Caenorhabditis elegans: one gene and its partners. The protein of the gene in region 1 interacts with the protein of each later gene in a pairwise test. Each region holds a gene or a part of one and is shown in the gene's direction. Other genes may lie near its edges.

Region 1 (7,594 bases):
AAAAAGTGTATCTTTATTGAGTTTAGTGTCCAAATAAAACCCTTTTTCTCGCACCGCCCGTCTTTTTCAGCGAGACAACGACCACAGACAAATGAAAACTATTGAAACAAGTAAATACATACAAACTTTTGTAATTTCTCAAGTACTCTTCTTTTCTAACATGCATGTTGACATGTAAAATTCTTCTTTTCTAACATGCATGTTAACATGTAAAATAAATTTTATAACAGTTATTTTTCCTGAAATTCGACGGTTTAATAAATATTTACAGGACTTAAACATTTAAATTGATTTTTAAAGATAAATTTAATTAGCATTTTGACAGTGACAGCAATAATATTGAAATATTAAAGAACAATGATTTATAACTTATAACAGATCACAAACAATAGGAACATGATGGAATAGTACAAGATTACGCGAAAATTCCGTATAAGAGGAACACAAAAAAGTATGAATTAAATTAGAATGTAGAAAGTTTTAGTCGTCACCATCCCAAATCGTTTGATCTAGACCGCCATCATCTGGAGCAACCAAATCCTGAAAACAATAAATGTTTCATGAATATTCCATTAAGAGACACAAACCTCATCATCCATGGATTCGTTTTCCTCAGATCCTTGTGAGAAGCCAGCTTCACTTTCAGCTACGTAGCTGTTGCCAGAGCCTGAAAATAGTTGCAAATTGTCAAGCTTATTCAGAATTCAAGAACCACTTTTATCATCTGCAACTGATTCCTCTTTTTTGCCAGATATTTTTGAAGAACTCTTCTTAATTTGCTCTGCAGCTCTTTTTGCTTTTTGTCTGTTATCGAATTCTGCCACATGCGCAGTCATGGAAAACTCAACGTCGTTAAGTTTTTCGTCGGTGCCTGTTGGATTGAAGAAATCATTGAGCATAGATTCATCCTGAGTGGTTCCAGATAGGATCGACTCTTCCGATGTTGCCGATATACTTGCAGCCGGATCGTGGCGTTTAGATGAAACACTCGCCGGGCGGTTAACTTCAGAGGGACCTGAAGTAATCAGAATTTTTCGTACTGTAAAAATTATTATTACGGCCGTAATTATGGGAAATGTGTTCCATTTCGCTTTCTCGGCGAACATTATCAGGCAATTTATCCATGTTTTTCTTGGCCTGCATTGTATCATACTTCTCCATATGAGCAATCATTGAAAACTGTGGACGCATTGAAGTTTGTTCTTTGCTAACCGGAGAATTAAAGAATGCATTCAATCCAGACTCATCCTGTGTTGTGCCTGTATCGTCATCGAATGTTGAATCTTCAGAAGTAGCAGATTCATTTAGCTCCGATGTAATCTTCCGAATAACTTCAGTGGGCGTTGCAGCGTCTTTGTTGATAAGTTTTATCCCTGGATAATGCACACCAATCGGTCCAATAGATCGTGTTGAATCTAAAACTATAAATAATTATAAATTTATTTCTTCTTTGACACAAAGTCTATTAAAAAAACTTTGCAAACTTCTTTGAAAGCGTCGTATTTTGTTATTCAAAAAAGTAAACATGTGGTTGTAATCAAATTGGTATAAAAACAATTAAACATCTTACCTGAAGTGAACGACGACTGCGACGTGGTTCTTTGGTTCCACTTCTTAAAACGCAATGATTTCTCCACATTTCGAACATTGTCACGCTGGAATGACTCTGGTCCGGGAAGTTCAGTGCTAGATGCCACGAGACGCCGAAAAGCCTCCTGAAACAAGACTTGTAATATACTGAATTTGAATGAATAAATACTTCTTTCTTTGATTCCACATTCTCTGGGGTGTCAGATCGTTCCACAGCACGGACAGTCACTTTCAATTTATTTAATGTGATTTTGCTTTCAGCAATTTGTCGCTTGACGTCCTCGATAGCAGATTTCTTCCGAGTCAGAACCTCTTTTTTAACGATATATGCGTTTTCCAATTGGTTTATTTGATCAAAACTCTTACGGACTTTCTTGTTCTGATATTTAATATCTTCCAACGACGCCTCGAGATTTATTATACTTTCTGAGTTTTCAGCTTCAGACTTTTCAAGAGTTTGCAGTTCATCGGAGAGCTCGCATACCTCATTGCAATCAGGAAACTTTTCGATAGATGTAAGATTAATTTTGTTAAGATCACTGAGGTCAGAGCACAACTCATTAAGAGATTCTAGTTGCTGGGTCATCATAGCTGATTCTTGGCTGATCACATCCTGTTTCAATGCGTCTTCATATATTTGCCTGGCTTCGTTTATCTAAATTATAAATTTTACATCCTTTTTTATGAAACAGAAATACCTCCTCTTCCAGTTTCGCTTTATAAACATTTTCACTCGTAGAAGAGTCTTTGACTGAAGAAAGCTTCTCCAGAGACAATTGAATAATATTTGACTCGAGATTTGTATTTACTTGAATCTCTTCTTTTAGCTTCATAATTTCTTTTTCAGTTTGAAATATAAGTTTGCCTGTTGAAGATTGACGCTTTTCCACATCGACTTTTTCATTTTCCAGGTGCTGAACAGCACTCGAAACTTCATCAATGGAAAAAACCATAGTTTCGTGTTTTTTTGCAGATTTTTCAATACACGCTTCATATGGAAGTGTGATCGAAAGCACTGACATTTCCATCGGAAGAGAGTGATTGCCCTTGGAACAGAAAAAATCCATTTTATCAATCGTGGAGTTAACTGAAACACGAAAACTAAAATATTAAAAGTTAAAAGGAAAATGATACCTTGATCAGTAGACTGTGCCAAAAATGAATGAAGTTTCTTCTGGTGATTTTTCACATCTTTATCGCTGACTGACATTTCTTCTGCGGCTGTTGCCGAATGTTTGACTTGTGAACAACACGAATCGACTGAAAAAATGTAATTCGTTTGCAACCAAGAACGAAAATCGCCTACGGAGTGCATGGTTTCTTGATAGGTCTCTACACTGTCTTTGAAAGCTCGAAAACTTTTTTTCGAGTAGGTTATTGCTGAAATTAAATTAATATAAACTGTTTCTTTTTTTGGTGACTTACTTTCTGATGATCGACTTGACTTTCGCTTCATTTTCCAACAAACCAAGTACTGGAGCCATTTACTATAAGAACTAAATTAAATATTAAATATATCGTTTCAAGAATTCATTGGAATGAGGCAAAAGTAAATACTTAGGATTAAAAAATCCAGCTTTATATTAAAAACTTTAAAGGCGCATATGAGATGTTATTCGGGTCCCGCAGCGCTCATGCGGGGTACGATAGTACTTCAAAGAATTACGCGGGAATTTCTTTTATGCGGGAAAACGGTTTTTTCTTGTTTACTAGTTCCTTTCTTTCGTCTAATTTTGATATCTTGTGTTTTTTTCCAATTATAAAATGTTTGTCTCTTCTTAAATTTGAAATTTTGAAATTTTTCAGATGTCAGGGCTTGACGACCGGAAAAAACTAACACATGCAAAAAATAGGAAGCCTCTCAACGACATTCCGAAATCCGCTGAAAACAGACCAAATACAAGATCTACTTCGAGTCGGTGAGTTCTACGAAAAAAGTATCTGAAGCGATTATATTTTTTTCAGACGCGGTGCGGAAAAGGACGTTCCCATCACTTTCATCGGGAGTTCTCGAACTGTGAAAGCCGATCTGCCCGAGTTCACAAATACTCGCTCAAGACGTCCATTGCATTCCGAGTCGAAGAAGGAATTGTCTCGGAACCCGGTTTCGAGAGGTGAAGAACATAGCAGTTCTTTGCCAAAATCCTCCCCAGAATCATCCGTGTCAGTCATGTCATCAAACGCGTCGTTGTGGTCCGCATGCACCGAGGAAGTGAATAAAATCGGTGTTTGTGCGAAGCGAGAGAGCAGAAGTAGGATTTGCAGAGTTTTGATTTTTCAGTTTATGTTTTCTTTTCAGATCTTCGTGTTTATAAGATGAAGAGTTTCACAAGTAACATGGAACAGATATTGTCAAACGACAACCAACTCGCTCCCACAGTCATTAGAATTCTGAATAGTAGAAACTCTTGGTGTCTCAACTCGTGCCATGCTTGTTTAACATTTATCATGGGTTGGTTTTGCTTCCTGATAAATTTATTCTAATGTTTTGTAATTCAGAAAATATCACGAGCGACAATTATGGGAAGCGATCGGCTTGCTTGAAGGCTCTTGCATCAATTACCAACAGTTTACTGGACACAATCATCGGATTTGCATCCACCAAAACTCGGCGAATTGGAGTCGATGTGGTAGCTGAAGAGCGAGCTGCAAAAGCAACAGAGTGCATTCACAATTTTCGCAAAATAGTTAAAAATCGGGACAAAATCTACAAACAGATTGACCAGGAGACAATTTACAAACTCGATGCCATTCTCGAGCGATTGAAAAAAGTTTCCAGCCATAAGTAATTTTCTTGTAAATAATTGCATACTTATTATTCAACCGATGGTTATCACCCAACTCACTGTTTATTTTATTGCTCATACATTGTGTTTCTTACATGTCCAATATAAAAACTATCATGTGCTCTCGTATTGTGACTTAAAAACAAAAATGGGCTAATTTAATGTCCCTCACAGTATCGTACGAAAACGGTGATTCATTGTCTATGGAATCGTTTTTCTCTGAAGTCTCTGAGCGAGTGCGCCCCATTGCAATCGATGTGTACACCTCGTGGAGGAACTGATTTTCGCATAAGCTTCTCGTCATTTCTAGAAGTTTCTTAATTTTCTAATAAGTTAACAATAATTTTGTTCCAATTTCTTATTTATCGACACTCGGAGGCTTCTCCCACTGCTAAAACTGTCTCAAAATCAATTTTCAGAAATGAAGGTGAATGTGTCGTGTTCATCCGTTCAAACTACAATCGACATTCTTGAGGAAAATCAAGGAGAAGACGAATCTATTTTGACACTTGGGCAGCTACGCGATCGAATCGCCACCGACAATGATGTTGATGTTGAAACCATGAAGTTGTTGCACAGAGGTTGTTTCTGATTTTTTGGAATAATGAGACAAAGTATTTTACAGGAAAGTTTCTTCAAGGCGCCGACGATGTCTCCCTTTCTACTTTAAATTTTAAAGAAAATGATAAAATCATTGTGATGGGTGGAAAAAATGCTTTGGTTGATGACGCGGGCTTCAAAATGCTCATGCAATATGAGAAGCATAATTTGAGCAATCTTCAAAAAGCCTATGATCTCAATTTGAGAGATGTCGCTGATTTGGAACGTGGTTTTCTCGAAAAACCAAAGCAGGTCGAGATGGGGAAAAAGCTGGAAAAGAAAGTGAAATATTTCAACGAAGAGGCGGAAAGACATCTGGAAACTCTTGATGGGATGAATATTATCACTGAAACTACTCCCGAAAATCAGGTGTGTCATAATTTTATTTTGTACTTTGAATAAGTTTTCGATTCAGTTCAATCAACTTTCAGGCTAAGCGAAACCGTGAAAAACGCAAGACGCTCGTAAACGGAATCCAAACTCTTCTTAATCAAAATGACGCACTTCTTCGGAGACTCCAGGAATATCAGTCAGTTCTCAACGGAGACATTCCTGAATAATTCTCAATTGCATAAAATTGCTTCGGGTTTTTATGTTATGAAACTCAGTTATAAATCAATAAATTATATTCTTATGCTATGTATCAAAGGGAGGAAAAGGGGCAAAACAACTGACGGGACCCATTAAAATGAGAAGGCTGCTAATTACAAAAAAAAGAGCAATGGTGTGAAAAAATTAATAACGAGTTCTTTTATCATTGAAAAATGATTTGAGCAGGAAAACTTGGCCAATTCCAATGAATACTACGACGGCAGATTGACCAAGGGACCAGATCATCACGCGCTCGTTGAGTTCTTCTGCACGTTTGCGACCAGTTGCTTCACGGAGACGATGATGAGTTTGATAGTCATCAATCTACAAAAAAGTTTATAAGTATGTCAAATGTCGGGTGAACAACTTTTTTAGTAAGCTCCCAGCAAAATAGAGTTGGAAAAATGAACGAATTCATAAAATTCGAAAAAGTTACGTTTTGAGCATTTTCTAATTGTAAAAATAAATCTTTTTAAATAAAAATCTTACTGTTCTCAATTTATCTCCAATAGCGACTGCATAATTTTCTAATTGAGTCATTGCATGAGCTCCTTGAGTAACGGCAGCATGAAGAGCATTTTGATCACCGAATTGCCAATCCATGTAAACGATTTTATGAGAGAATGTGGAGAATTCATTTGAAAAGCATGCTTTGTATGTTCCTTCAACTTCGGCCTTGAAGTTGATACTGTCGTACTGCTTTTTAGTATCTTTATACAAAACTTTTCCATTTGGATCCTCAATGATCAAGTCTACGTCATAATGGCCTCCAGTAACAACCTGAAATTATCAAATTATTACAGTTTCTACGATTTTCAATTGAAATACTAACTTGGAATTCAAACACTGTGTCAACATCCTTTTTCAGATCTTCATAAAAACACTGATTTGCGTTGTCTGGAAGTTCGAATGTCAATTCGATTGACAGACCTAGGGCCACAAGAATTGATGAAACTATGACAAATTTGAGCATGATCTTGGCTGAAAAGTTGAAATATTTTTACAAATTTATTCGAATTGGATAAGAAGCAATACAAAATTATAATTATTCTATTAATAGAGAGAAAACGTGAAAAGGAGAGAAATTCGACGCATGGAAAATGCCAACAGAACACTAGTTCAAAGGGGCGCACTTGCAGCGCACAATATTTATATTTAATTATACAATAAATATATTATAAATAGAACATAAAATAGAACACATTAGAACATTGCACATTTTGTGCTCAATTGTAAGAGAAGGCTAAATTCATTATTTTGTATTAAATATTAATATCAATAAAATATTCACAAATTGACAGAATAACTTCAACGTAATAAAAGAAATTGGTGTAAAATGCAACATTTTTATTTATTTTCAATAGATAAATTAGCTAAAAACTAAAATTCATCAAAAGAATCATTAGAACTGCTTTCCTCAGATAGATTCAGTTTACTATTAGCTGGTACAAGAAGTGCTCCTCCTTTCCCGCGACCTATTCCTCTGGCACGAGTTACACGTTTCACAGCTGTTTTGCTCTTCTTGATTTGTTTATCAACTTTCTTTTCTTTTGACATTTCATTGTTTTTCATAGTTCCCGCTACACGTTGTCCAATTTTGTCCAGCGCCTCGACAATTTTTTTCGACCATTTTAGTTCGAGAGAACTATCCAATTTCTGTGCGAAAAATCGGTCTAATCGCATTTGGCTTTGTCCACCGGATTTTAGAAAATTATTCCATTTTTCGAAAGCGTCAAATGAATTCTGCTCTTCGTTGTGCTGTTTGCGATCAGGCCATTGAAGGCGTTGATGAAGAATTCGACGGATCAATGGAATATTCATCTGGCGCCATCGAAGTTTTTCTGATGATGAATCAACGATGGGATGAAGGTAGGCATGCACAGCGTCTTGATTAGAGCACACCTGAAATTGAATTGAACTATTAGGAATTTAAGAGAAACATGAGTTTCAGTATGTTGTTTTGTTTTCAAAAATCTAAAAATAAGTACACATTTGATATTCTCCATATCGTTTGCTTCAGTTACATG
Region 2 (7,551 bases), on another chromosome or scaffold:
CATGCCCGGCCGTGGCCGCATTCATTTAATAAATGGAGGGAAATTCAATGAGAAATACGGTGGACAACGAGTGTTTACGGACTGAACAACACATTTGACGACAAGTTGCAGACAGACACGTTGCAGCGATAGAAGAAAAGTCTGGTTTTCAATTTTACGTATTTTCCCTAATATTTTATTTATATTATTAGCTGAAAAATGTTTTATAAATAAGGGTTCAAATTTTTGAGGTGATTAATCACGCAGTAAATGTTTCAAATGTTAAATTTACATTGTAAACCTCGCGACCAACTGTGTATGTATGACTTTCCAAATAACTTCGCAACTGTTCGTCCGTCAATATAATATCACTTTAAATCTTCCAAATAACAGTTATTCGATTCAGATTGACTCACTTTGAACTAATCTCCATCATTTATGCACAGTTGAAAATTTTCAGAAGCTGAAAGTTTGAAAAATAACACGTAAAAATGAGTGCCCCAAAAACTAAAGGAGGTAATTTTGAGACGTCGTGATTGTGATTTATTATTTTGTAATTTCTTTGTGCTTGTAGTCGCTCCTTGATTGTGCATGACTTTTCTCTCGCTTCTCAATAGAACACGTTGGTTTTTCTCATTATTCGATTAATCAGTAGCAAAACAGTGTATCCTCGAAAAATCATAAATGTTGGGTTCCTAATTTTTGCCATCAGAATTCGAAGTCGGCCGAATGATTTTGAGTTACTCCGTTATACATTCTTCGCGCCACAAAAAATGTAATGGTTTTATTTTCCAGGTCAATCTTCAAGAATGAAGACCAACAAGAAGGATGAGGAAACCGGGGGAAACGTCTATGCTCACCTCGATAAGACCTCCGTTCTTCAGGAAGCTCGCGCCTTCAACGAGACACCGATCAACGCGAGGAAATGTTGTTTCATCTTGTCGAAGTTGATTTACATCATTCAACAAGGAGAATCAATCGGAAGAACAGAAGCAACTGAGGCCTTTTTTGGTGTCACAAAGCTTTGGCAGAGCAAGGATGTCAGTCTACGCCGCATGGTTTATCTCGCTGTGAAGGAATTGGCTGAAGTTTCTGATGATGTCATTATTGTCACTTCAAGTCTTACAAAGGATATGACTGGAAGAGAAGATCTCTACAGAGCAGCTGCGATACGTGCTCTTTGCAAGATTACCGACACTGGAATGTTGCAAACTATTGAAAGATACATGAAACAGGCTATCGTTGATCGAAACAGTGCGATTTCTTCATCGGCTATCGTCTCTTCCATTCATTTGATGCGTAAGTCTTCCGAGGTAGTTCGTCGTTGGGCTAATGAAGTACAAGAAGCTGTTTCATCGGACAACCACATGGTTCAATACCACGCTCTGGCCCTTCTCTATCAAATCCGTGCCAACGATCGTCTCGCTGTGAACAAACTCGTCCAGAAGTTCAGCAAAAATGCTCTTCGTAGTCCATATGCTGTGTGCTATTTGATCCGCATTGCCACTAGATGTCTTGTCGATGACGATCAGTAAGGGTTTTAATTGAACGTATGGTTCGATAATCAATTAAAAGTTGCAGGCCAGATTCTTCTGTTTTCACATTCATTGAATCGTGTCTTCGTCACAAGAGCGAGATGGTAGTCTATGAAGCAGCTAGAGCCATTGTTTCACTTCCACAAACCACTCCGTAAGCATTGTATAATTTCTGAGTAAATTTATATTTCATTTTGCAGATCGGAGATTCAGCCAGCAATCACTGCTCTGCAAATGTGCTGCACTTCTCCAAAAGCAGCAGTTCGCTTTGCCGCAGTTCGAACTCTCAACAAAGTCGCAATGGCTCACCCGAACGCAGTTATGAGCTGCAATGTGGATCTTGAGAAGTTCATAACGGACCCGAACAGATCTATTGCAACTCTTGCCATCACCACCCTCCTCAAGACTGGAGCCGAGTCTAGTGTTGAAAGACTCATGCAACAAATCGCTGGCTTCGTAAACGAGATCTCGGATGAGTTCAAAATTGTTGTGGTCGATGCTATTCGCTCACTGTGCTCACGTTATCCTCGAAAGCATACTGTTATGATGCCTTTCCTTGCTAAGATGTTGCGTAGTGACGGAAGTTACGATTACAAGAAAGCAATTGTGGAAACTATTATTGCAATCATCGAAGAGAATCCAGATGCTAAAGTTGCTGGATTGGCTCACCTTTGCGAATTCATTGAAGACTGTGAGCACGATAATCTTTCTACTCGTGTTCTTCATCTCCTCGGGAGAGAAGCTCCAAAAACTCCAAACCCATCAAGCTACATTCGATTCATCTACAACCGCGTAATTTTGGAGAGCACCAAAGTTCGGGCCGCTGCAGTTACAGCTCTCGCCAAATTTGGAGCACAGTGCGTTGATTTGCGTCCATCGATTCAAGTTCTTCTGAAACGCTGCCTTTTGGATTCTGATGACGAAGTTCGTGATCGTGCCACCTTCTACCTCAAAATGCTTACTGAAGCAGCCGAAGGCCTCATTCACAACTTTATTCTTGACGGACTTCAAGTTTCGCCATCTGGTCTCGAGCGCTCAATTCTTGACTATCTCCGATCCGGATCTTACTCTTCTCCATTTGATCTTCGAGTTGTTCCTGTTACTCAACAAGCTCTTTCTCAACCTGAAAAACGTGTTCCTCAACTTGTGGAAGAAGAAGAGAAACCGAAAGCTCCTAAAGTTGAGCCATATGCTGCACAGCTGGCTGCTATTCCACAGTTTGCTGCTCTTGGTCCAGTCTTCAAGTCATCTACCAGAATTGCTCTCACGGAATCAATTGCTGAATACACTGTTCATATGATCAAGCATACATTTGCCAATGCCATGGTTCTGCAGGTATTTAAAAATAGTGAACTTTTGAAATCAATTATCGAATTTATTTTCAGTTTGAATGCAAAAATACAATGAATGACCAGCTTCTTCTTGATGTTTCTGTTGAATTGGAAGATCCAGATGGAGAATGGGAAACTGGAAATACTGTTCAAATTGATAAACTTCCCTATGGAGAAGTTCATTCAGCCTTTTCACTTCTAGAATTCCCTGATTCTGGAGCCATCTCTGGAAGTTTAGGTGCTATTCTCAAGTTCAAGGTGATGGATGTAGATCCAACTTCCGGGGAACCTGATTCGGATGACACATACGAGCAAACATATGTGGTACGCTGTAGAATTCTTAATACATTTTTATAATTCTAAATTATTTTCAGCTGGAAGAAGTTGATGTTAATGTGTCGGATTCGGTTCAAGGAGTCGCAAAATCTTCATTTGGATCTGCTTGGGAAGCGTTGGGAGACGATGCAACAAGAGAAGAAACATTCCAATTGTCAACAGTGGAAAATATTCCTGATGCTGTCAAGAAAATATCTGAAATTTTGGGACTTGTTCCTTGTGAACGGTCCGATCGTGTTCCTGAAGGAAAGACGCAACACACAGTGTTCCTTTCCGGAGTTTTTCGTGGTGGATATGATGTTCTTTCGAAAGCCACGGTCGCGGTGGATCCAAACGACAATTCAATTGCCATGAATATTATTATCAAGTACGTTTTTTTCAAACATTTTTTGATATTGTATCCCAATTAGGTCAATCATATATTTGCTCCAAAATAAAATCTAGTACATATTTACATAATATTTATTAAACTTTTTAATTGATTTTAAGTGGAATCAGACAGTAATAATTGTTTGCAAAATTTTTCGAATTATGAAATAGCATTAAAATTGAAATTTAAAATTAAGCATTTTTAATGGTTTTGAGTCATTTCCTGATCTCTACTAATAGTAAGCACAATTTGAAATTCTAAAATTACAGATCGAATGAACCACTCGTCGCAGATTTGGTTATCTCCGCAGTTGTCTAAAATTATTCGGGAATGTCCTGCGCCGCTGTTTTTCTGATTTTAAATGTCACCGCATGTTTTTTTTTCTAATTTATTGACCGGCGTTCGACAATTGTGATGTATGTGTGTTTTAATTGGTATTTTTGCTTCTTATTTATTGTGCGTTTTCGTGTTTATAGCTATTGCTTCCAAAAAAATTGAAAAAATAAAATGGGAAGTCTCATTATACCTTCCTCGAGTTTACTGGTTACACAATAGAACACATGTTATAATTAATTTTTCCGGATCCTAACTAAAATGGGTTGGTAAGTTAAAGTTTCCAAAACAAGCTTGTTCGGCATCTTAATAGTTAGAGCAAAAAAAAGGATTGATCGATTCACCGAGCAGCTGTTCTCTTTTTTTTTGTGAAGAGCCGGATGATCACCAGGTCTCTTGAAATCTCGTGATATTTCGCTTCCGATTGAAAGTTTCGCAGTTTGTCGCCTCGAAAAATGAAAATATGTGACTCTAAAGCTATTTTTTAAAGTTTTTGTTACCGTAACATTAACAGTTATTATCGATTTCTGGTTTAACGTTGTCGTGAAATTGTGCACATTGGCCACACACTGTGAAGGTGCTAAGAAAAATGACCACTAGGTAACCCAAGAGCAATGTAAACAATTCTCGTTGTCTGTACTGACTCACTTCTTTGAGAAATCGTTTCTTTTCTTCACTTTTGTATTTTTTTAATCGAACCTTTCCGCAACCAAATCTTAAATCTTGAGATTTATTAAAGTTGACTCAAAAATTGAAAATGCGAGCACCTGTGACATTTCTAATCTTGTGCTCACTGGCTCTTCTCTGTTCATCAGCTAACAACTGTGCCTGGTTTGTCGGTCAATTACAATGTACGGACACTTCGAAATTGGAAAATGTGGTTGTAGAAATTTGGGACAAGGATCGATCTTTTGTAAGTTTTTTTATTTTTGAAATGTCGTTAATGTTGAACTGAAAAAAAATTAAATTACAGTTTCCAATTACTTTATTCGTTGATGATGATTTGGCTGGAAGAACTATTACTTCTGCAGATGACAATGGAACATTCAAAGTGGAAGGATGTGCTTCTGACCTCGATTTTCTTTTTATCAAAAATGAACCAGAATTTTATTTGAAAATTCGACACTACTGCAAAGGAAAGTGAGTTACAAAGCACTTGCTTCATAATAAATATTTAAATTTTTAATTATTTCAGGGCAGAAGTGACGCTTGTACACCCGAAAAATCCGAAGGTGTTCGTTCCACAAACTAACGATTATTTCACAAAACATCCTATTATTTTGGGATAGATGTTTAAGAGTTCAATAAATGTATTTTATATTTGAATTTTCTACACACAAATGTTGTTTAATTGGTCTTCCAATCCATAACTTATTTTATCAAACTAAACTTGGCAAAAAAGTTGAAATTGAACATGTCATATCATCAATTAAAATGTAGCTATGACCTTCCCCAAAATTCTACATTGGAATCATCAGAAACTAGTCAGTTTGATCGCTTTTCAATGATTAATTCTCCAACCTCCCTCAAGGTTTTTCTATTCAATCGATTCTTCACGATATGGGTGTCCTCTTTCTTTTTGGTGGATTTTCCTGTTCTTATCATCCATTTGTTTCCGAGAAACATGGAAAAAGGACACAATATTTTTCACTGGCTAATAGAAATAGTATAGTTTTATTTTTATAGCTGTGAATTAAGAATAAAAATGAAAATAAAATCAAAAATCTTCTCGCAGAAGGCACCGTACACTAACAATTTGGGCGCAAGTCCAAAAGCGTCGCTGCGGTCTCGTAGCGATGTGTAAATATTTTTCCTCAGTAGCTATGCGCCTTTGAATATTGGTACTGTCACAACTATAGTGTTTCCTCAATTTTGTTTTTTATTTCTCGAGATTTCTCTTCTAATTTAAGAAATCTTAACTAGTTTGAATTATTTTTTAGTGTTTAAATGATATTTAGTTGTCCAATTCTTTAGTTAAAATTCCGTGCGTTTTAACCTCACTTTTCCATCGTTTCAGTTTCAGACACGAGAAACTGGTTCAAGAAATACTTCAAACTTTCTTTTTCTCTTCATTCTTGAAAATTTTACTTTTTCTTGTTTGTTTTGGCAATTCAATCTGTTTCGATCCAACCACAAATGTTTGACGTCATCCGGCAGTTGTGAATAGCTTGATTTTCATTTTGCGGCAGCTTCACCGTATTCTTTGTGTCAATCAAGAATTTTTATAAATGAGTAGTTGGAGGTGTCAATCATTAGGCCTCAGACAATCAAAACTCCATTTTTCAATATATTTAATTTTCAATGCAGTTTGTTTCTAACGTTTCCAACTTTAATCCCACAAAAAATGACGTGCGAATGATTCATAATAATCTGAAATTTAGTTTAGTTTATCCAACTCCTTGTTTATGGTGAAATTGGTGAATAAAAAATAAAAGTGGCACATGTTTTTAATTGAAAAATAAATTGAACATTCAAAATCCTATTATAATCCGTTATTCTCCCTTTTGATGAAACATCGATCTGTTCTGAAATGAAATCATTCAAAATATTTCGTTTCTGAATCCATTCTGTCCAACTTTCCTTTTTTCAGATTTAACATAAAATAACCACTAACAATGCTCAAATCGCTTATAATTATCTGCGTTTCCATTCTTCCCATATCTCTTGCTGGTAGAGAATGTGTCTGGGTTCTAGGAAAAGTCGAATGTCAAAATGATCCGACCAAGAATCTGAATGTTGAGGTTAGATTTTTATCAGTTTCTCCTGAAATTGATAGTGAATTCATTTTTGCAGAAATATTTCAACAAAACACTATTTCAGATTCGTGTCTGGGATCGTGATGGTCCAGGACCACTTCAAATGATAGACCCAGATGATTTGATGGGTGTCACATTTTCCAATGATGACGGACGTTTCCAATTGGACGGATGTGGAGATGATTTCGATTGGATTCCGGGAGTTAAGAATGTTCCAGAACCATATATTGAAGTTAGTTTTTTAATCATCAGTTCGATATCAAAAATGTTGTTTTCCAAGTTTCATTGAATTTTTGAAACATTACGAGCCTATGAAATTCAAAATCTTTAAGAAAACTGTTATAATTTTTCTGTAATCTACTAAAAGATAATTTTCAGATTCGTCATTACTGTAACAGTGAAAAAGGAGACATCTTCCAACTTCCAGAATTCAGTACTTTTGTTCCAAATACCTATGATATCGGAACCATCGTTCTTGACAAGGAGACTCGTGGAATTAAAACGACACAGAAAGCTGATCCAACTCAATAATTTATTCTTTTCCATTTTAATCTTTTTTATCCCATTTGCCATTCATCGCGTTATTCATTCCAAAATCTTGTTTGTTTTGTACTTTTATCTTCATATCTAAATATTTGTACAGTCGGAATTTGAATTATTTTCTATGAATTCAAAACTCATTCCCACTTTAAATCGTTCCCATCAATTGTTTTCTTGCCTCGATTTTCTTCTGTGATTTCACTTCCTTCTTGCATAACATTTTTGAATTTTTTTTTCATTAGTCTTCAGTTTTACTAATTTTTGGTGTTTAACCAAGCTATGAACTATCTACTAACCTCTCCAGGAAGACTTCAAGTACGAAGTAAAAAAAAATCACTCATCGCAGTTGTCCCATGAAAATCCTGGAAATG
Region 3 (8,755 bases), on another chromosome or scaffold:
AGCAACTACAGTACTCCTTAAAGGCGCACACGCTTCATGCCTGCTCTACAATAAACATTTTCTATCGTGTCGAGACCGGCTACCGTATTCTTTTGTAGGAATTGAAACAATTTCGCATCTTGGCATCTGCAAAGGACTGGAAAAAATGTTTTAAAAACCAAAAATTTGCAGAAAATAGGTCATTATTTAATTACGTCAAAACGCGTTGTTCTGAAACTGAAAAAAATTAATCTGGAAAATTAAAAAGCTGACGTGACCTTAGATTTGAAAAGAAAATGATATGCATAAAACGTGGGACCTGTGGAAAACACGATGACGAACGAACCTTTGAAATCAAAGAAAAAACACATTATTTCGAGTTAGTCTAACAATTTCCTGTACGATTTTACAATTTTCCCGACGAGCAAATGCCTCGGAAGCGTTCTAGATCCGAAAACTACGAGGATCACATTGCGATTCATCATACGCTTCAACCAGTGACGTTCATTGAGGAAGAGGTAATTTGAAATTCTATGAGACTTTTTTTTTTTAAATCTCAATCTCATAATTTTCAGTTAATTCTGGTGTGGCGATTCCCAGTGGACATATCCCAATCTTCTATCGGTGGACGGACAACTTTATCAAATGCCTGTACCCTCATTGCTCTGAAAATTGCCGAGCTCGTCCATATTCATGACATCAAAATGCCAATACCGTATCCAACTCGAAATGATCGTGTGGCGGCCGGTGCTGAGAGGACGCAGCGGAAACATTATATTCGTAGCTCTGCAGATGAGACGGTTGTGGATAACAATGGTTTTGAAACTGTAAGACTTTTTAGATTAAGCTTAATTATTGGATTATAAATTTCTTAATTTCAGACTTGCCCACCGCGACTTATTGGTTGTCTGATTAATGGGATTGTGGATGGAAATGACACTTATTCAAAGCACGCTGGTGACGAATCTACGAGAAATTACAACTTGCCAGATGCAATCAAAGCATGTGATCTTAGTTTTTCGGAAGTTGATTTCAAACTAACTACTGGATCAATCAAAGAATCTCTACCAAAACTAATCAAGATGGCTGTTCGGCAGTAGGTTCAAAATTTCAAATTCTATAAATTTCCGGCATTTTTCAGTCCATTATTTCAATCGGAAAGTCGCCTTGTCTTCATCATGATGAGCTGTGTTCGAACAGTTTCGATTATTTTCGATAGAAATCAGGACACGCTAACTCTATTCGACGCACACCAGCATTACTGGCCAGATAATAAAAGTAATATTTTATAGTTAAGCTTAATAGACCAATTAAATATAATTTTCAGAAACTTATAAGCACGGCGCTCTCATTGGTACTTGTAGCTACAGTAACTTGCACTCATTTGCAAAATGGATAGAAAATTTTGTGTATCCGGATGTCGCCGACCATGTTAATGTGAGGATCTACATTTTTTTTCACCTGTCATTACAAAATTTCAGGCATTTGAAATTTCGCTGATAAGAATTACGGAAGCCGGCACTAACAAAGCTCAAGGTGTATGTAAATATCCGGATAATAAATTCACAACGATCCGAACGCCAGTTTTCCAGGCTATGAATTTGCAGGAGGACAAAGAAAGTAAGTTTGATAGTGATTAAACGAAATTCAACAAAAACTAGATTGCAGATCTGAAATTGTCGGACCATCCAGTTCTCCTCGGCATTCTCTCCAAACCCCCAATCGTAAAATGTGGAGTAAAACGACGACACGACTCAGAAAATGGGGAAAACGAATTTACAATAAAATTAAAGAAGGTATTGAAACACAGCAGTTAAACATAATTTTAATTTCTTTTCAGAAATCGCCTAAAACGACTTCTGAGCGGACTTAATTACAACTTGGAAGATTCTCAACAATGTGCCATCGAGTTTTATGTGATATACAGTTTTTCTCTAGTATTTAGAATAAAAGTTTTTAATAAATTCATTTTGTTAAAGAACTAGAAGGAAAATAGGCAAAAGAAAATGCAAAAACAAAAAAGAAAAAATAAAGAAAACTCCAATTGCTCGTCATATGTGATGCGTTACAGTAATATCTGTGCGGCACGCAGACGCAACATTGCACAGCGCGGGAAAATTTGTTGTTGACAATTTAAGTTTATACTCCCAAAAAATTGTTTTTTCTCTTTTCAAATGAAAGTTTTGCTGAAGTATTGTGTTTATTTTTGTTTAATTAAAAGTTTTTAAGCGGCGGCAGTGTTAATAAGTGATTCAAGCTGGAATTATCAACTGAAATCAACCAAAAAATCGGCCTGTCGGTCTGTTCTAGCGGTAGAATTCTAAAAACATCATGAATACAGTTTATATGTTTGTTTAAAAACATTTATTGATAAACCTTTTCGAAACGTACTAATTCCCGCCGTATGGCCGGTTTTTAGTGGACTAGGCAACGCTCGGTTTCTAGGCTCTCCCGCGCTATTATACTCATTTGAATTTATCCGCTTTTTATTGAATTTTGAATATATATCGAATAGTATTTATTTTCAGATATTAACAAATCAGAAAATGGACACTGAAAACATCGCCGACGCCTCTGATATTCGTGTGAAGGATGCTTCAGGAGATTCAGATGAAAAAGGAAACGGGACTACTACAGAAGAAGAGACTGTCGAGCAGAAGTAAACTTTTGCTGCAGAATATCATCAATAAAATCACTTTTCGTATTCCAGAGAGAAGCGTCTCGCCGAGTTGCTTGCAGCTGGACGCCGTGCGTTGAAAGTTAACGATATCGACAAAGCATCGGATTCGTTGAGTGAGGCTACTGAACTGAGCTCCGAAATTTATGGAGAAAACCATGAAAACACGTTCGATTCTCTTTACTATTATGGCATGGCCACACTGGAATTGGCGAAGGAGGAGAGCCAACTTCTGAAAGGTCCAGGTGAGAAGGAAAGCGGAGATGAGGAGCAAGCTGGAAATTCTGATGACAAGACTGACGAAGAGAATGGAGAAACGGAGAAGGAGGACGGAGAGGAATCCGGTGAAGAAGAGGACGATGATGATGATACCATGAAATTATCATGGGAAATTCTTGAGGTTTCTTATTTTATTCAATGATTTTATGCTTAATTGTGATTATTTTCAGACAGCTCGTTGTATTGCCGCTGCCAAAATCGAAGCTCTAGAAGCTGAGCAGAGTGGAATCAGTGCCATTGAGGAATGGAACCTGAAACTCGCTGATGTACTGGTTCTCCTCGGCGAGCACGGAATATCAGATGGAAAGTATACTCAGGCTTTTGAGGACTTGGATCGTGCCCTCAACATTCAGCGCAATGTTCTTCCACCGTCGTCGAGAAAAATCGCCCAAACCTACATTCTCATCGGAAACGCGTGTGCTAGCGATGCGAATTACGATGAAACCGTTCAGTACTTCGGCAAAACCAAGGACGTACTCATCGCCAGGCAGACTGAGTTGAAGCATGAGCTGGAAAGAGGTGTTGATGATAAGGAAAAGAAGTCTGAATTTGAGAATGAGCTGAAGGAGCTTGAAGAGATGATGCCAGGCGTTGAAGAAATGATTGCTGATGCTGTGCACTCTGCAGCACAAGTTGAGGAAACTAAGAAGGCCATTAAAGCGCAATTCGAAGGATTCACACAAGTATTGGCAAAACTTCCACAAGAAGCCGGTGATCAGAAGGAAGCAAATGATATTTCTAGCTTGGTACGGTTTGAATTAACTTCCCGTAGACTTTTTAAATATTCAATTAACAAATTTCCAGGTTCGTCGTCCAGCAAAACGAGCAGTGGATGCTCCAACTGACAATCAAGCAGTGAAGAAAGAAAAGGAGGAGGAAGGAACAACTTCGATCTGAATATTGATAACCTGTAATTCTAAATATTTCATCATGATCTGACCTACTGAACTACTGATAATGTATCAATTAACATTTTATCTGTTATCCGAATTTAAGGATTCTAAAGTAAAACTTGTTCTGTATATATATATTCGCCATATATTCGTTTTTATAATTTGTTTCAAATCTTTTTCATACTTCCAAAATAATTTTACTATTTAAAACAGGATTTTCAGCTTCATTCAAATTCGAATTATACTTGTATGAGTGAAGAATTTGATGATTGCCATTGGAAAAATATGATCTCTGCTAATAAACAGTTTGATATTCAGCTGGGAGATGAAATTGGAAAGGTAATTTTTTTTAGATAATTAACAATTTAAAAAAAGTAAACTTAAATTTTCAGGATTTCTTCACCCAGGATACAGTGGTCTGCGCGTTTCGAAACAAGGAGAAGACCACGGATTTTGTCTTCACATCGGGTCCAATTATTCTCATTTGTGATGGAACGACGCGACGGAAGATGATTAAACGACGGTTCAAAATGGAGTTTGATATCAAAAAAGTGTTCTTCCACTCGTTCATTGTGACTCGAAACGCTGAAAAGTTGGCAACTGAGAATTGTGGTGGACCTGATACGAAGCATCGGGATTATTTGGTTGTGTGCGGTGAGCATAAGCTCCAGTTCATATCGCTTCCCGACTATCATTTCTATCACTATGAAATTCCTTTTAAGGTGAGAATTTAGTTTGAAATTCTGATAATTTCAAATATTTCCAGCTTCGCAACGTGTTCTCCTGCTCGACAAGTCTTCTGGTCGAACGGTTCTACGATTCATCCAGCGAACAAACCTTCCACCATCACGACACATTTCACCTCTACTCGCTATCCGGTCCATTCGGCGAGCTTCTCCCGGTTATCTACAAGACAAGCGGCTACCATCCACAATGGAAATTCTGTTGGCAATCGCATCGAGACGAGGCTGGACTCGTTGACGCTCAGCAAAATTACGTTGTTGTCTATGATCAGAAGGAGAAGACGCATCGGATTTATATGGCACGAGAGACACAAGAACAGGAAGTTCACGCAGCGATTCGATACGTTGAAGCACTCAGAAGACCGTCTGATTCAACAATGTTCGCGTCGAGTTTGGCGCCGAATTCTGCCGGCAGAACTACGCATTTTGATCCGACACTCAACTCTCCCGCCGGTAATTTTTGAAAACTTGAGCTTTTGGATAAATATATTATTCGTATTGTATCAGACATTCAAATCGTCAATATTTAGTTAATTTACAGTGATTTAAGTTAAAAACCAAAAAAACCTCGTTTCGAACAGGAAATAATTCGATTTTCCCCAAAAACTACTAAAAAAATCAAATGTTAAATTAGAAAGAGTTGTGATTAAAAACTAAAAAATAAATATTTTCAATTATGATATAGTGTGGAAGTCCGAGTTAATTTATATTCAACAAAAAATCATAATTATTTTCCAGAAAATGTGCTCTCCGAAGTGATCAGCTCGGAAATTGATAGCCGCTCACCGTTCACTCCTCATCTGCGATCCGGTTTTGGACATTCTACTCCAAACAACCCGAACGCTCCAGGCTACCCTGCAACACTTCCAACACCGAATTTTGAAGGTAATTTTTTTTTTTAATTCATAAAAATTTATTAGCACCATTAACCTCAAGTCGTGGGCGATCGTGCACGATGATGATGATCAAAATTTAAAAGTGTTATGCTTCGCCGTTGCTGATGCGCTCGTCCTGGCACTCGATTCTGTTTGACTTGATCTTCGAGGGGGCTCAATTGAGACGTCAACTTGAGCAGTTGAATGTCGCAATTATTTAGAAGAATTGACGGGTTGTTGGGAGAAGACATACGGCGGTTTCTGAAAATACGTGAAGTGAGAATTATAGCTGATGTCCGTCAAATTGTTACATACCGTAGTGCTGTGAAGTCTTGGCTATTCCTTTGAAGAGCTCCACCCGCGCGGAACATACTTCTTCGTCGATATGGAGTAATTGGAGATGATGGCTGAGTTGTTGTAGTCGTCGAGTTGCTCTCTGTTGAGCCAAGAAGAGCACACATTGGAGCTAGATTTGAGTAAATTAGAATATGAATTTAGCCAACAGAAACCAACAACAAAAAAACTATAAAACGAAAAGCACACGGCACACAGCAAACCTAGAAGTTAGTGTATTTATTGTTATATATATATATATATATACGTGGTGAGAAGGAAAGTGTAGAAGCGAACAAAATCAACTGAAGAATATCGAGAAAACTATCTAAGTGATCTACGAGGTGGTGGTGGGCGGTGTTTAGATGATGGTGAGCTACGACACGAATGTGAATGATGAACTTGAGACGCACCGATTGCCGGCGACATGTTCGGTTCGAGAAAATGGGAGGCGGATCGGGAACGTGATGAACGCATCGATGCCATTGAGATTATCGAGCTGGAATGTTTAGATTTTTTTGTGGAAGATATGGAAGAGCACTTACTTTGTAATGCTTAACCGAAGAGGTGTCTTTTCACTTGCACATCCCTCATATCCTCGTTTCATTGATTCGATTAACATGCAGGAAAACTGTCTCCAAGACTCACAAACTTCTTCTTCTTCACTTTTCTCCGCTGCCCTAGACCTTATTCTCAATATTCGCCGAATTCTGAAAACCAGTTGATTTCCCACCCGTGATGTAAATTGTCAAAAAGTTACTTGCTATCCTCTGTGACAACCCGCATGTACATTTTGCTCATGGCGATCGGAAGTTGTTGGGCAAACGGAGCCCAAAAGCAGTTGTCATTTCCCTCATTCATATAATGTCTATAAACATTTTTGTGAGTGTTGTCCCACCCACGCATATGACTAACCGATGGCGTGCTCCGAGACGGAAGGAAAGCGTCTTGATCATTTCTGGATCACATTTGTGAACTTTGATGAGTATGTTGAGAAAGTCACGAACTTGATTGATGATGTTGAGAAATTGAGCATTTTCCTTATAGGTAGCGTGCATAGTCTCTGGTAGATCAACAAGAGCCCATACCCATGTGGGTGTTAACTCGGCGGATTTGAGCCAAGCCTCACTGAAAACAATTGCTTTTCAGGAACAGTCTGAAAAAAGAGCTCACCTAATGGCATCACTCAGAAGCTGTGGATCGTGCGAGTTTATTGTATTCCACGTATGTACTACATGTTTTCGATGTGTAGATAGTTGACGAGCAGACTGATTGCCCATTTTGTTGCATAGTCCGGAAGATCTCTGATACACTGAAAATGAGCTTCATCATTAAGTATCTCATCTATCCTAACTGAGCCAATCGTAAAAGAACAGAATGAATCAAAGAATGGATTTTCTCTTTTCTATCTGTTTATAGCAACGGAAGCTTCAAAGAGAGTAGAAAGAGCACACAGTTGTTTAGCATGCTCTTTTCGCGAAGGTGAATAATGAATAATTATGGGTATTCGAATATGTTATGATGAGCTCACGAGGACGTAACATTATTCAAAGAAATAGCTGAAGAAGTTGTTTTTCAGACATTCTCGTCGAAGATGCAATTTTCACAGAAAAAAATTGAGAAAGGAAGTGCGTCGATCTTCTCAAAGATGATTATATAAAGAGAAGAAGGTCACTCATGTGATAGGAGGTTCAAAACAATGAAAATGCAGAGCCGATTTCTTTTTAAAATCGAGTAAAACTTGGAGCGGCCGCCCGACTTAACTAATAGCGTCCGGAATATGATAAATGGGGCGGCGTCTTGGTGCTTCAGCATTGCAAGATGAGACCAGCAGCAGATGTAAAAACAAAATACGTCCTCGACTAAATAAGAAAAATGATTGACAACGACGTCCGATGTGTTCTGGCAGCTATAAGGAAGAAAAAAGACGTGGGAGGGGAAGGAGGAGTCGAATTGCACACGATATTCTGAATTTCGTTCTGAAATTCGTCTCGAATGTGAACAAAAGTTCTACGATGAGAAAATCAAATTAGATTCGGGGGTGTCACCGCGACTGAACTCTGATTGACGAGAGAGCCTATTGACTAGAGAAGGAGATCTGTGAATGTGAAATTTGAAATCGAAACAATTTGATTATCTTCTCTTCTACGTCAAAAAGGCGTCCGATAGGCGTGAGAAGCACTCATGAAAATTGGAGAGGGAGACCCCCTTTTTCAAAAAAACTGAATTAGACTTTTGAATGAAACGGATATCAGATGAAGCTTTGAAACTTTTCGTGGACTAACTCTATAGAGATCTACAACGAGATTATTAGAGCAACAAGGCCTGATCTTGAAAACGGAGCTCTAAAGGAGCTCCAAACTAGATCAACCTAGCTGCTGCTGCTGCAAGAAATAGAGTCACACTTCCGGGCTGGAAATAGCAAAACTGGAAGAGTCGAGCAATTTGTTGTGTGGCGCCTCATATTCCACGTAAGGCCTGTTGAACATTGCCGCCGCCGAGTGTGCACACCGACAAAAGAGACTTTGTGTTGCTGCACATGTGAAATTGTAGATATGTATAGCCCTGAGGGCGTAAATCACATTTGCATTCGGTGCTCTTTTCGTTGTCGTCGCATCGCCAAAAGAATCTCTCTTTTAGAAGAACAAGGCGTGTACAGGAAAGACACAGAGATTAGTGTGAGCCATTGAAAGAAAAAAAGAGTTTGCTTCTGTTTTCATCCTCCTCTAGGCTCAGTCGCTGACCAGTAAATTTGTGTGTGTGTGTGCCAGATGAACCCGTGAATAGGTGATGAGGCCAATGAAGGCACAAAAATAAAAATGAGGAAGAATGAGAAAGTATGTACTTTTTTTTATTTCAGGCAACAATGACTCTCAAATATGGGCAACTACTCCGAATACGCCACGAGTTATTGCGAGAGGAGGTCTCGAACGGAATATACATACTAGGTACAGTTAATGAGAAATTTCGTTAAAG
Region 4 (8,107 bases), 160 kb from region 1:
ATACAAGGAGAGGTTCTCTTTATTTTTGTATATCCTCTGAAAACGAAAATCAATGCTACAAAAATATGCCATCCTGTTCAATAATTTTAATAAATACAATTCGAGAAAAACACGATAATTCAATTTATTATTGGTCGTTTTGCGATTTTTTTTTGACATTTCACAAATACTACGGTAGTTCTACATATTTCCGACATAAATATAAAATATAGTCAGTGGGGGCTTTGCCTAACAAGCCAAGTATTTCAGCTGACAATTAGATTTTTGAATGAAAACTATGCCATTTGATAGTGTTTTCACTGTCGGCGATTTTTTTACAAATTTGAAAGTGTTTATACTGAAATCTTTTGCAGACAAGTTCATGAAATTTGTCATGTAACACGAATCTTTTGCACATAATTCGCAGGTTTCCAGATCACTTGTGGTATTTCATTTATGATATGCGATGACGCCATAAATACCCTTGTACTTCATTCATTCTCCGCAATTCACAAATCGGATACAATCCCTCTCACACAAGCGGGTCATTTTCTTATTTCTCTCGATCCTCCACTTAATCTCAATACAATCGGAACATCTCTTCTCTGGATATCTAGGGCAACACGGACAATTGGGAAAAGGAAAGGAACGAGAATGCGTTTCGGGCAACAGACACACCATTCGTCTTTCACTTTGATCCATATATTTCCTTATCGATTTTTTTGAAGTGGTATTCAATTTTTTTTAATGTTTTTCTACTGATTAGTGAATTTTTAAGTTCAACACACTTGCGAAAGCCAGCTCAATAAGTCGAAAATATTAATGAGATTTTCATCCAAGTTTTGATAAGTGCTTTCTATTTCACAAGAAAACCAAATTATAATGTTTTTTATTGATTTCTATATAACATGTGATCTTTTGTAATTACAAACCAGTAACTTCAAGCTCAAATTTGTAAAAATCTTGTATTGCCTGCCATATTAATATGTAGAAAAAATACGGTAACTTCTCCGCTTTTCATTAGGTACATTTAAGGTCAATTTAAACATTTTATAATCATCTCACAATCAGTTTGGAACACTTAAACCCAATGGGAATTTTTCTGAGTTAAACATTTCCACTCAAAGATTAGAATAAATGTTTCAAGCCCTTATTCTGACGAAGCGTTCCACATATTTCTTTTTTTTGAAATTTGATTTCTATAACATTTACAGTAAATCATGCCAAACGACCGGGTGGCTCCATTGCCTCCAAACTTTGTATACTCTCCACATGACAAATTCTACTATGCCCCTGCCACGTGTAATTCAATGCATTATACAACTGCCTCGTACATTTCTGCATTTATTGAATTCCTTGTTATGGGAACTGGAGCTATTTGTTTTTACGGTTAGTTGATTGGAAGTTCAGAAATAGTTGTATTTCACAAAACTTAGAAATTAAAGTTTTAAGAAAACAATTTTCAGTAATGAGCCACAAATCGGATTCAATTGGAAAATGGTTGTTTTATATTCAAGCTGGTATTACGGTACTTTCTCTTTTAACAAGTGCTCTAATGGCATTTGGACTTTGGAAAGAAAATCCACAGATGCTAGGATCAAAATTGAAATTTATTGAAGTAAGTCTTCCCTTCATTCCGAAAAGTTTCCGGCTACTTTAATTATTCTATAAACTTTTAATTCCTTATTAAATTTCAGTTTATAATCTGTTTCCTCCTGATCTGGGCGGTCATTTCTATTGTTTGCATGGCCTTTGGAATTCAATTCACAAGACAAGTCTTTGGAATATTTGGAAAAGTTCATCGAATTGAACAAGATTACGGACCAATTTGGCCATTCAACATTGCTGTTGTTTCTTTCTTCACTGCTGCAATTGCTATTTGGTGAGAATTAAAATGCCTGGATTTTAATAGATTAACTTTAATTAATTTATAATTCTATGTTATGAACCTAAAACATGAACTTCCATGGTTTCTATAGTTTTCTAAGAATGCGAACTTTTCTCTAATAGATTTTGAAACTCCCAATAAAACAAATGTTGAAAATGAGTTTCAAGTTTCAAAACTTTCTTTCAGAAGATAACATTTAAAAACCATTGATTTAAATCTGTCTGTATAAACTGTTTACTTTACAGGACAAGAATCATCATTCAAGGAGCTGCTGATTATCTCTACGATAAAGCTTACTTCGCAGACAAGCAGAACGTCGAACTCAGAGAGTCATCCAAAACCAGATAGATTTCTGATTGTACATTGTTTTTAATCGAATTTCTTAAATTATTTTCATTATAATTTCTCTACCATCAAAGTTTTACTGATAAACGGTTCGAAATTTACTTTAAATTTTATTTGTCCGTTCGTATGTTCAATGTGTTTTGTTACGTTTCTGTGCTCATTTGAGCATTAAAAACATTCAATTGTTATTATTGCCCAACAAAAATCCTGTAATTCACGAGTTAAAAATTTAAAAACTACCAATTCTCAACATTTTGAACGCGACACAAAACTTTATTAGAAATTGAGTAACCACGAAAGAATACTTCTCTTTCTTCTCTTATATCCCATGGCTGGATCTTTAACACTGAGAGAATAATTATCGAAAATACTTTTGAAAAGCCAATAAGATCCACCATCTGGATAGTACATTTTCTCCTTCGTATTTGCCAATTCATCAATTGTAGCAGTGTCACATGTGACCGTCCCGTTGAGATATAGCTGAAAAATAATTTTTAATTTTAAGATATGTATATGCTATAGCTCAGCATCAGTGCTTCAGAAGGCCGGCTTTACCTGTTTCCGAACATTTGCGGTCCTGTTTTAAAATTTTTCAAAACAGGAAGACCTGTCTAACTCCCTACGTTACGTCTACCTAGGTGCCTTGCTTGATTCTCAGCTCGTTTCTGCTTACGTTCTTTCGTCATGCCTACCTACCTCCTATATGCTAGCGTAGCGTATACCTATGTACCTCCTGCCTGCATCATGCCTATCCCAGGCATGTTTACTACCTACATACGTGTCGTTTAGTGGCTGTCGTCACAGAGTTTAATCCCGTATTCACCTTGAAAATAAGTGGCATCCCTCCATTCTTCACAAAATCAGTTGGTCTAAATCTCTCGAAAGCGTAACACTTGTTAGTTTTAAAGAAACTGTATGCACATTTCACATCAGTTTCACAAGTTTTACTACATTCTGGTACTGATGCTGCAGTTGTAACTCCCATTGCATAATCTTCAAAACCATCTTCTTCTTCTTTCATATTCTCAAATACTGCCATACAAGGTGCTTTTGAATCACGAGTTGTTGAACTCTCCACTGTAGTTGTTGATGGTGGTTCAGTGGTCGGACGTTTGGCTCGACATGGCTTTGCGCCCTTCAAAAACAAATTTATTGGAAATATTTATAGCGGTAATAGAATTTAAAAAATGACAAAAATTCAAGTTTTGAAATGCATATTAATTTTGTTGAATACTACTGTAAAACCAAACCAATCAGTTTTAAATGCCTACCTCGCCAATGTTTATCGCCGCTGCTAGTAGAGCCAAGAAAGTAAAGATTTGAAACCTCATCTCGTTCAGGTTCAGAATAATGTTTCATTTTATGTTCTAAAATAGTCTCACAAGTTATGATACTCATAAAACATGAGAACTTCAATAAGTCAGTCGTCATAGTTTTCAAATAGGGAAGTGAAAATAGGAACGAACAAAGAATACAGTAATGTCAAGAGTTTTGAGACAGTTTAAAAGAACTTCATTGCTTAATTGTTACTGCAATAACCGAACTTTTAAGAAGCAATATAGATCACTCACTATTTAAGATCTAGAAAATAAGTTCCAAGTTTAAATTTCTAGTCAAGACGCAAATTTTTGCTGTCTTGGAATTTGGCGTGGAGAAAGCTACAACGTTTTAGTCAATATTTTGGTTTTCAGCTAATTATCGCTCATTTTATTTCTATTTCTTGAGTTGAATTTTTTGCATTCTCAAATAGCGCATCCTCAAAACCCAAATTCCTCAACGTTGTATGGTCTCTGTGCAAACGCGCTCTAGAGGCAATGCGCGAAACAGCGGCGATTTTAAATGAAATTTTGAAGATTTTTTGTTTTTGTTTTAACTTTTAAAAATTGATTGTCAGTCGTTGTTGCCAGTTTATACATATTATTTTAGCAATGGCAGAAGAACCGTACGTTTTCACTCTTAAAAAACGAAACAATGATGACGCAGAAGATGATTGGGATCGATATTCGGAAAATGTCCGCCCAACAAGAAGGGGAAGAAAGATTGACGCACTGAAAAGAGTAAGTATGGTATTTTCCTAGAAAAAAATTTTATCTAAATTTCAGAATGTTGAAGAAGTTGTTACCGAAGAAACTGCACGCTTAAAGCTTGATCAACTTCTCGAAGAACTTCAAAACCTGGAATGTTCAGAAGAAAGCGAAGAACTTCAGAAAATTCTAGATTTCTGTTCGTGGTTTGAAGAGAAACTTGCAATTGGTTTTCACAAAGTATATTACGAACTTCTCTGGAAAATAATCAGCAGGCTAGTTTACAAAACTGAAAAAAACAATAAAATATATTTTAGACATGGATTCCTGGAGAAATACAAAGAGGACGAGAGAATGCTTAAAATTTGGGAGAAAATGGCAGATAATAGCGCTGGTCATGCACATGATATTTATCAGTTTGCTATTAGCAGAAAATCTTTAGTAAAGTGAGTTCTGATATTTTTCGTTTAGGAATTTTATAAATTGAAACAATTTTCAGGTGCGCTGCTCTCTACGCTCGTTGGTCTCAATCTGTGGAACTAGCTGGTGCATACGTAGAAGCCAGACGTGTTCTGATTCTTGCTCGAACTAATTGCGCAGTTCCAATACAAATCGTCAATGATGCCGAAGATGCTCTAGAAATGAGAGAAATGCGAAGACATCTACAGGAAAGAGACTCTGATGATGATGAGGAAGAGGAAGAAACGAGAAAAGCATTCACTAATTTACCAGGTATTTTTTGAGTCATTTGAAAATTCAATTGTGACTAAATTTTCAGTGATTGGTGATAATCATACAGTTCCGATTGTTCGTTTGCCATCGATGTGCTCAGATACAACGAAGAAAGCGATGAAGTTTGATACGGGAAACGTGGAAAGGGTTAACCCAGTTTGTAAGGATAATCAAATGCAACCATTTGAGGTATGGTTTTTTCTAGCTAAGTGAGAAATTCTGCAGTTTTATATAAATATTATTTTAAAAATTAATATCGTTCAGGTTCTCTCCTACACTGATGCGGATGACGTGGAATATTTGAGAAACGTTCATGAGCTTCATGCTCACATCGAAAGATATGCCATCAAGGAAACAACTAATCCGAGTATCACGGGATCATCTACTTCTGAAGCTGCAGCTGTTACTGTAAGATATTGAATAGTTTTGTTCAATAAATAATTGTTTCAGATTTATCCAGTTTCCAGTTCAGAGTTCGAAGTTTGGACTGTTGAAGGATCTGGACCGACAAAAGCAAAGGCTAGAATGGCTATTAAGCGTGTTTTCAAGGATTTGTCGTTTGAGGTAATTTTGAAAATAAAATAATTTAAAAAAAACATTTTGAAGGAATATGCCGCGTCTCTTCTGCCGAATCACCCTTCGATGGTGCGTGCAACTGCAAAAAAGTTGGATTTCGATGAGACATTGTAAATTTCAAATCATTTATTTTCACGGAAAAAGTACATGAGAAAACGGAGGAGAAATCACTAGCAAATCAATTCTAAATTTGTATTATGATTTTGATCACACTTGCATTATTTTATTTCATTTTCTTCAATCAATCTTGATCACATAAAAGGGAAACTGTAACTAAATACATTGAATTAACAAAAGGGAAAAGAGGAAACCGGAAAAGTTGTAGCCATAATTTAAATTTAAAGCTTTACGGATCGGTGAAGTGAAAAACGGGCCACATGGAAGACATGGAATGCTTGAGAATGATACACGGGAGTTTCTTATTTACAAAACAATTGGCAGCTGAACTTGAACGTCTATTCAGATTTTTTAATTTGATCCACTTTTTCTTTGAGCTGTTTCACTTGATCCATTAATGTCGACAACATCTCAGCAAGATCCTGGTCATTTCTGTAGGAAATTAAATTCAGAAATTATCTAATACGAAAGTTTACCTTGAAACAGGCAAAGATTCTCTGTGAAATCCATGCAGAATCCAGATGTTTGCAATGAAGAATAACGTCAGAAGAGCAATGATAGCAATCAAGAACGGTTTGTAATCAACTGCAGTCAGTTTATTGGTAGTTGCAATAGGTTGAATGATTTGTGATTCAGGGAGAAACTGCGAATCATCGACAATTTTCGCGATTTCGCCACCAGCCAGAAGACGTTCTGGAGACTTCTGTGAACGACGGTGGCGGACCTCATTGGGTGTGGACTCTGATTCGCATGATTTTATGACATCTCTTCCATTTGGGAATGTAATCGACATTGGGGCTCTGAAAATTAAAAAAAAAGTAAATTTATTAACTCATTGACTTTCCGAAGTCAACTTTAGAAAATCTATTAAATTATGTTGAAGTTTGACTGCTATTCTAACAATTTTTCTTTTTGAACTTGAAATGCAATCATACTAGATGTATTCCTGAGCCCTATAAATGAAATAAAAAATATTAACCTGAGATCCTCGTCTGGATGATTGGCTGCATACTCATCAACAAGCTTACTCAACAATTGATAATGTTCATCAAGACCCTGATGAGTCCCTTTCTCAATGAATGTCTTCACCACTGCCCATGTACTCTTCTTGTACATAACACCTCCGTGTACCTTTATTCTACACGATGTTGGACCAGTTCTTGATATGCAGTATCGACAATTGACAGTGAAATTATCAGAATATGGTACTCCAGAGTTCTGTGTCTCTTTTTGCATCATTATTCCTTGTTTTGGATTTGGATAATGTGTTAGAATTTGTTTCTCATTCACAATAATTGCTTTTGGAGCCATTGCATGAGCTAGGGATACTGTATATGTGCAAGTACGCGTGTTGTCTCCTTGATGATCACGAACCCATGTTGCAGCTACATACTCAGCAGTCTTTGTTTTTTGATTCAACATAGTTAGGAACTCATTATCCGTGAATAACAATTCATAGAACTTCTCAACAGAAACTTTGAATTCCTTATCCATAATAAGACGTCCAAAATGTTCAGAACAAGGACATGGAACTTCTTCAATTATTTCATCTTCTTGCTCAAACTGTTCAGAGAAATGAGTAGCTGAATCTTCATCATGGAAGTCGGATGACGTGGAACTTTGGGACGTGTTGTCTTTGTCGTTGTTATTTTTCAAAGTAGAAGCTTCGGTGCGTGGAGAAATGGAACTGTTGAAGGATCGGGAGCTGAGGTTCTGTAATGCAATTCAATTTCAAATTTATTTTGAAAGATAAACATAGTTGTCATATTTGATATTCTACCTTGATTTTTTTAAAATCAAGGATCATGCTTGAGAGATAGAATATTGGCGAAACGAAATTTTCAAAATATAAATCAGTTGCATTAAGTCAATTTTTTGGATTGTAGCGTATTTTCTAGAAATCAAAATGTCTCCTTGATTCTTCTTGATTAAATGTGGATTAGTAGGCAGAAAACGCCAAATTTCAATATAATTTTGAATCCATGCTTTACTTTAAAAAAAAGAACACAACTAATTTAAATATATACAATAAAAAAACCAATAAACGTTTTTGGTCTTCTAAATTTCCTAATTACCACTTTTCAATTCTACATTTTAGAAAAAAAAACATAAAATTCTTGAATCATTTTAATTAGATATTTTGTCACTTTTGCAAATTGATTTCCTAAATAGATTATTTTTCAAATGGTACAGTAAGAAATCACTTTTTCTATGCCCCATAACTTTTATGATTCATTAATTATATATCAACTGCAACATAAATAATATTTTAATCAAATAAATAGTCTTTCTTTGACATACTTCTCCGTTCATCTCAATTTCAACAATTTCGTAACAAATCATCACTCAATACCACTTTTTCTTGATTTTCTCACTATTTGCTCTTCACGTTTCGCCCTCTTTCTTGCAAATCGAAATGACACAATTTTGAGAAAGATAAATATTG

Evidence for each region.
Region 2: the proteins of mei-2 (region 1) and ttr-54 interact in a two-hybrid assay, tested with the Caenorhabditis elegans proteins (one large-scale study listed by BioGRID).
Region 3: the proteins of mei-2 (region 1) and apc-1 interact in a two-hybrid assay, tested with the Caenorhabditis elegans proteins (one large-scale study listed by BioGRID).
Region 4: the proteins of mei-2 (region 1) and san-1 interact in a two-hybrid assay, tested with the Caenorhabditis elegans proteins (one large-scale study listed by BioGRID).

What each region holds. Positions count from the first base shown.
Region 1 is NC_003279.8:6,561,653-6,569,246, reverse strand, and holds mei-2 (Meiotic spindle formation protein 2), read left to right. Parts: upstream 1-3,394; 5' UTR 3,395-3,396; coding exon 3,397-3,509; intron 3,510-3,555; coding exon 3,556-3,842; intron 3,843-3,889; coding exon 3,890-4,042; intron 4,043-4,089; coding exon 4,090-4,379; 3' UTR 4,380-4,498; downstream 4,499-7,594. Other genes in the region: syp-6 (Thyroid receptor-interacting protein 11), read right to left, coding at 481-540, 588-667, 713-1,015, 1,059-1,421, 1,571-1,715, 1,760-2,245, 2,289-2,677, 2,725-2,850 and 2 more; bag-1 (BAG family molecular chaperone regulator 1), read left to right, coding at 4,798-4,957, 5,002-5,345, 5,408-5,536; tmed-3 (GOLD domain-containing protein), read right to left, coding at 5,712-5,891, 6,057-6,347, 6,400-6,540; xpg-1 (XPG (Xeroderma Pigmentosum group G) DNA repair gene homolog), read right to left, coding at 6,948-7,469, 7,556-7,594. UniProt on the Caenorhabditis elegans protein: Forms a heterodimeric complex in conjunction with mei-1 which severs microtubules in vitro in an ATP-dependent manner. This activity may promote rapid reorganization of cellular microtubule arrays. May act to target mei-1 within the cell.
Region 2 is NC_003282.8:10,151,564-10,159,114, forward strand, and holds ttr-54 (Transthyretin-like family protein), read left to right. Parts: upstream 1-4,211; 5' UTR 4,212-4,641; coding exon 4,642-4,797; intron 4,798-4,857; coding exon 4,858-5,024; intron 5,025-5,079; coding exon 5,080-5,173; 3' UTR 5,174-5,208; downstream 5,209-7,551. Other genes in the region: copg-1 (Coatomer subunit gamma), read left to right, coding at 471-495, 775-1,510, 1,555-1,668, 1,715-2,849, 2,900-3,169, 3,220-3,548, 3,821-3,869; ttr-53 (Transthyretin-like family protein), read left to right, coding at 6,500-6,625, 6,705-6,872, 7,019-7,171.
Region 3 is NC_003280.10:11,104,111-11,112,865, forward strand, and holds the start of apc-1 (Anaphase-promoting complex subunit 1), read left to right. Parts: upstream 1-4,050; 5' UTR 4,051-4,113; coding exon 4,114-4,167; intron 4,168-4,220; coding exon 4,221-4,550; intron 4,551-4,594; coding exon 4,595-5,024; intron 5,025-5,309; coding exon 5,310-5,456; intron 5,457-5,460; exon of another isoform or gene 5,461-5,502; coding exon of another isoform or gene 5,503-5,707; intron 5,708-5,761; coding exon of another isoform or gene 5,762-5,912; intron 5,913-6,192; coding exon of another isoform or gene 6,193-6,278; intron 6,279-6,324; coding exon of another isoform or gene 6,325-6,489; intron 6,490-6,539; coding exon of another isoform or gene 6,540-6,647; intron 6,648-6,694; coding exon of another isoform or gene 6,695-6,907; intron 6,908-6,952; coding exon of another isoform or gene 6,953-7,059; exon of another isoform or gene 7,060-7,097; intron 7,098-7,120; exon of another isoform or gene 7,121-7,243; intron 7,244-8,639; coding exon 8,640-8,727; intron 8,728-8,755. Other genes in the region: C09H10.9 (YqaJ domain-containing protein), read left to right, coding at 408-497, 555-806, 861-1,075, 1,121-1,257, 1,307-1,416, 1,461-1,599, 1,648-1,775, 1,820-1,852; nasp-1 (Protein NASP homolog 1), read left to right, coding at 2,526-2,638, 2,690-3,056, 3,106-3,681, 3,740-3,832; glb-4 (GLOBIN domain-containing protein), read right to left, coding at 5,503-5,707, 5,762-5,912, 6,193-6,278, 6,325-6,489, 6,540-6,647, 6,695-6,907, 6,953-7,059. UniProt on the Caenorhabditis elegans protein: Probable component of the anaphase promoting complex/cyclosome (APC/C), a cell cycle-regulated E3 ubiquitin ligase that controls progression through mitosis and the G1 phase of the cell cycle.
Region 4 is NC_003279.8:6,403,394-6,411,500, forward strand, and holds san-1 (BUB1 N-terminal domain-containing protein), read left to right. Parts: upstream 1-4,132; 5' UTR 4,133-4,140; coding exon 4,141-4,269; intron 4,270-4,314; coding exon 4,315-4,511; intron 4,512-4,553; coding exon 4,554-4,682; intron 4,683-4,735; coding exon 4,736-4,968; intron 4,969-5,014; coding exon 5,015-5,157; intron 5,158-5,232; coding exon 5,233-5,376; intron 5,377-5,418; coding exon 5,419-5,532; intron 5,533-5,574; coding exon 5,575-5,658; 3' UTR 5,659-5,819; downstream 5,820-8,107. Other genes in the region: Protein cuti-1, read left to right, coding at 1,200-1,368, 1,446-1,597, 1,677-1,861, 2,113-2,215; ZC328.5 (Apple domain-containing protein), read right to left, coding at 2,489-2,692, 3,036-3,347, 3,484-3,543; ZC328.3 (VASt domain-containing protein), read right to left, coding at 6,000-6,093, 6,138-6,461, 6,641-7,374.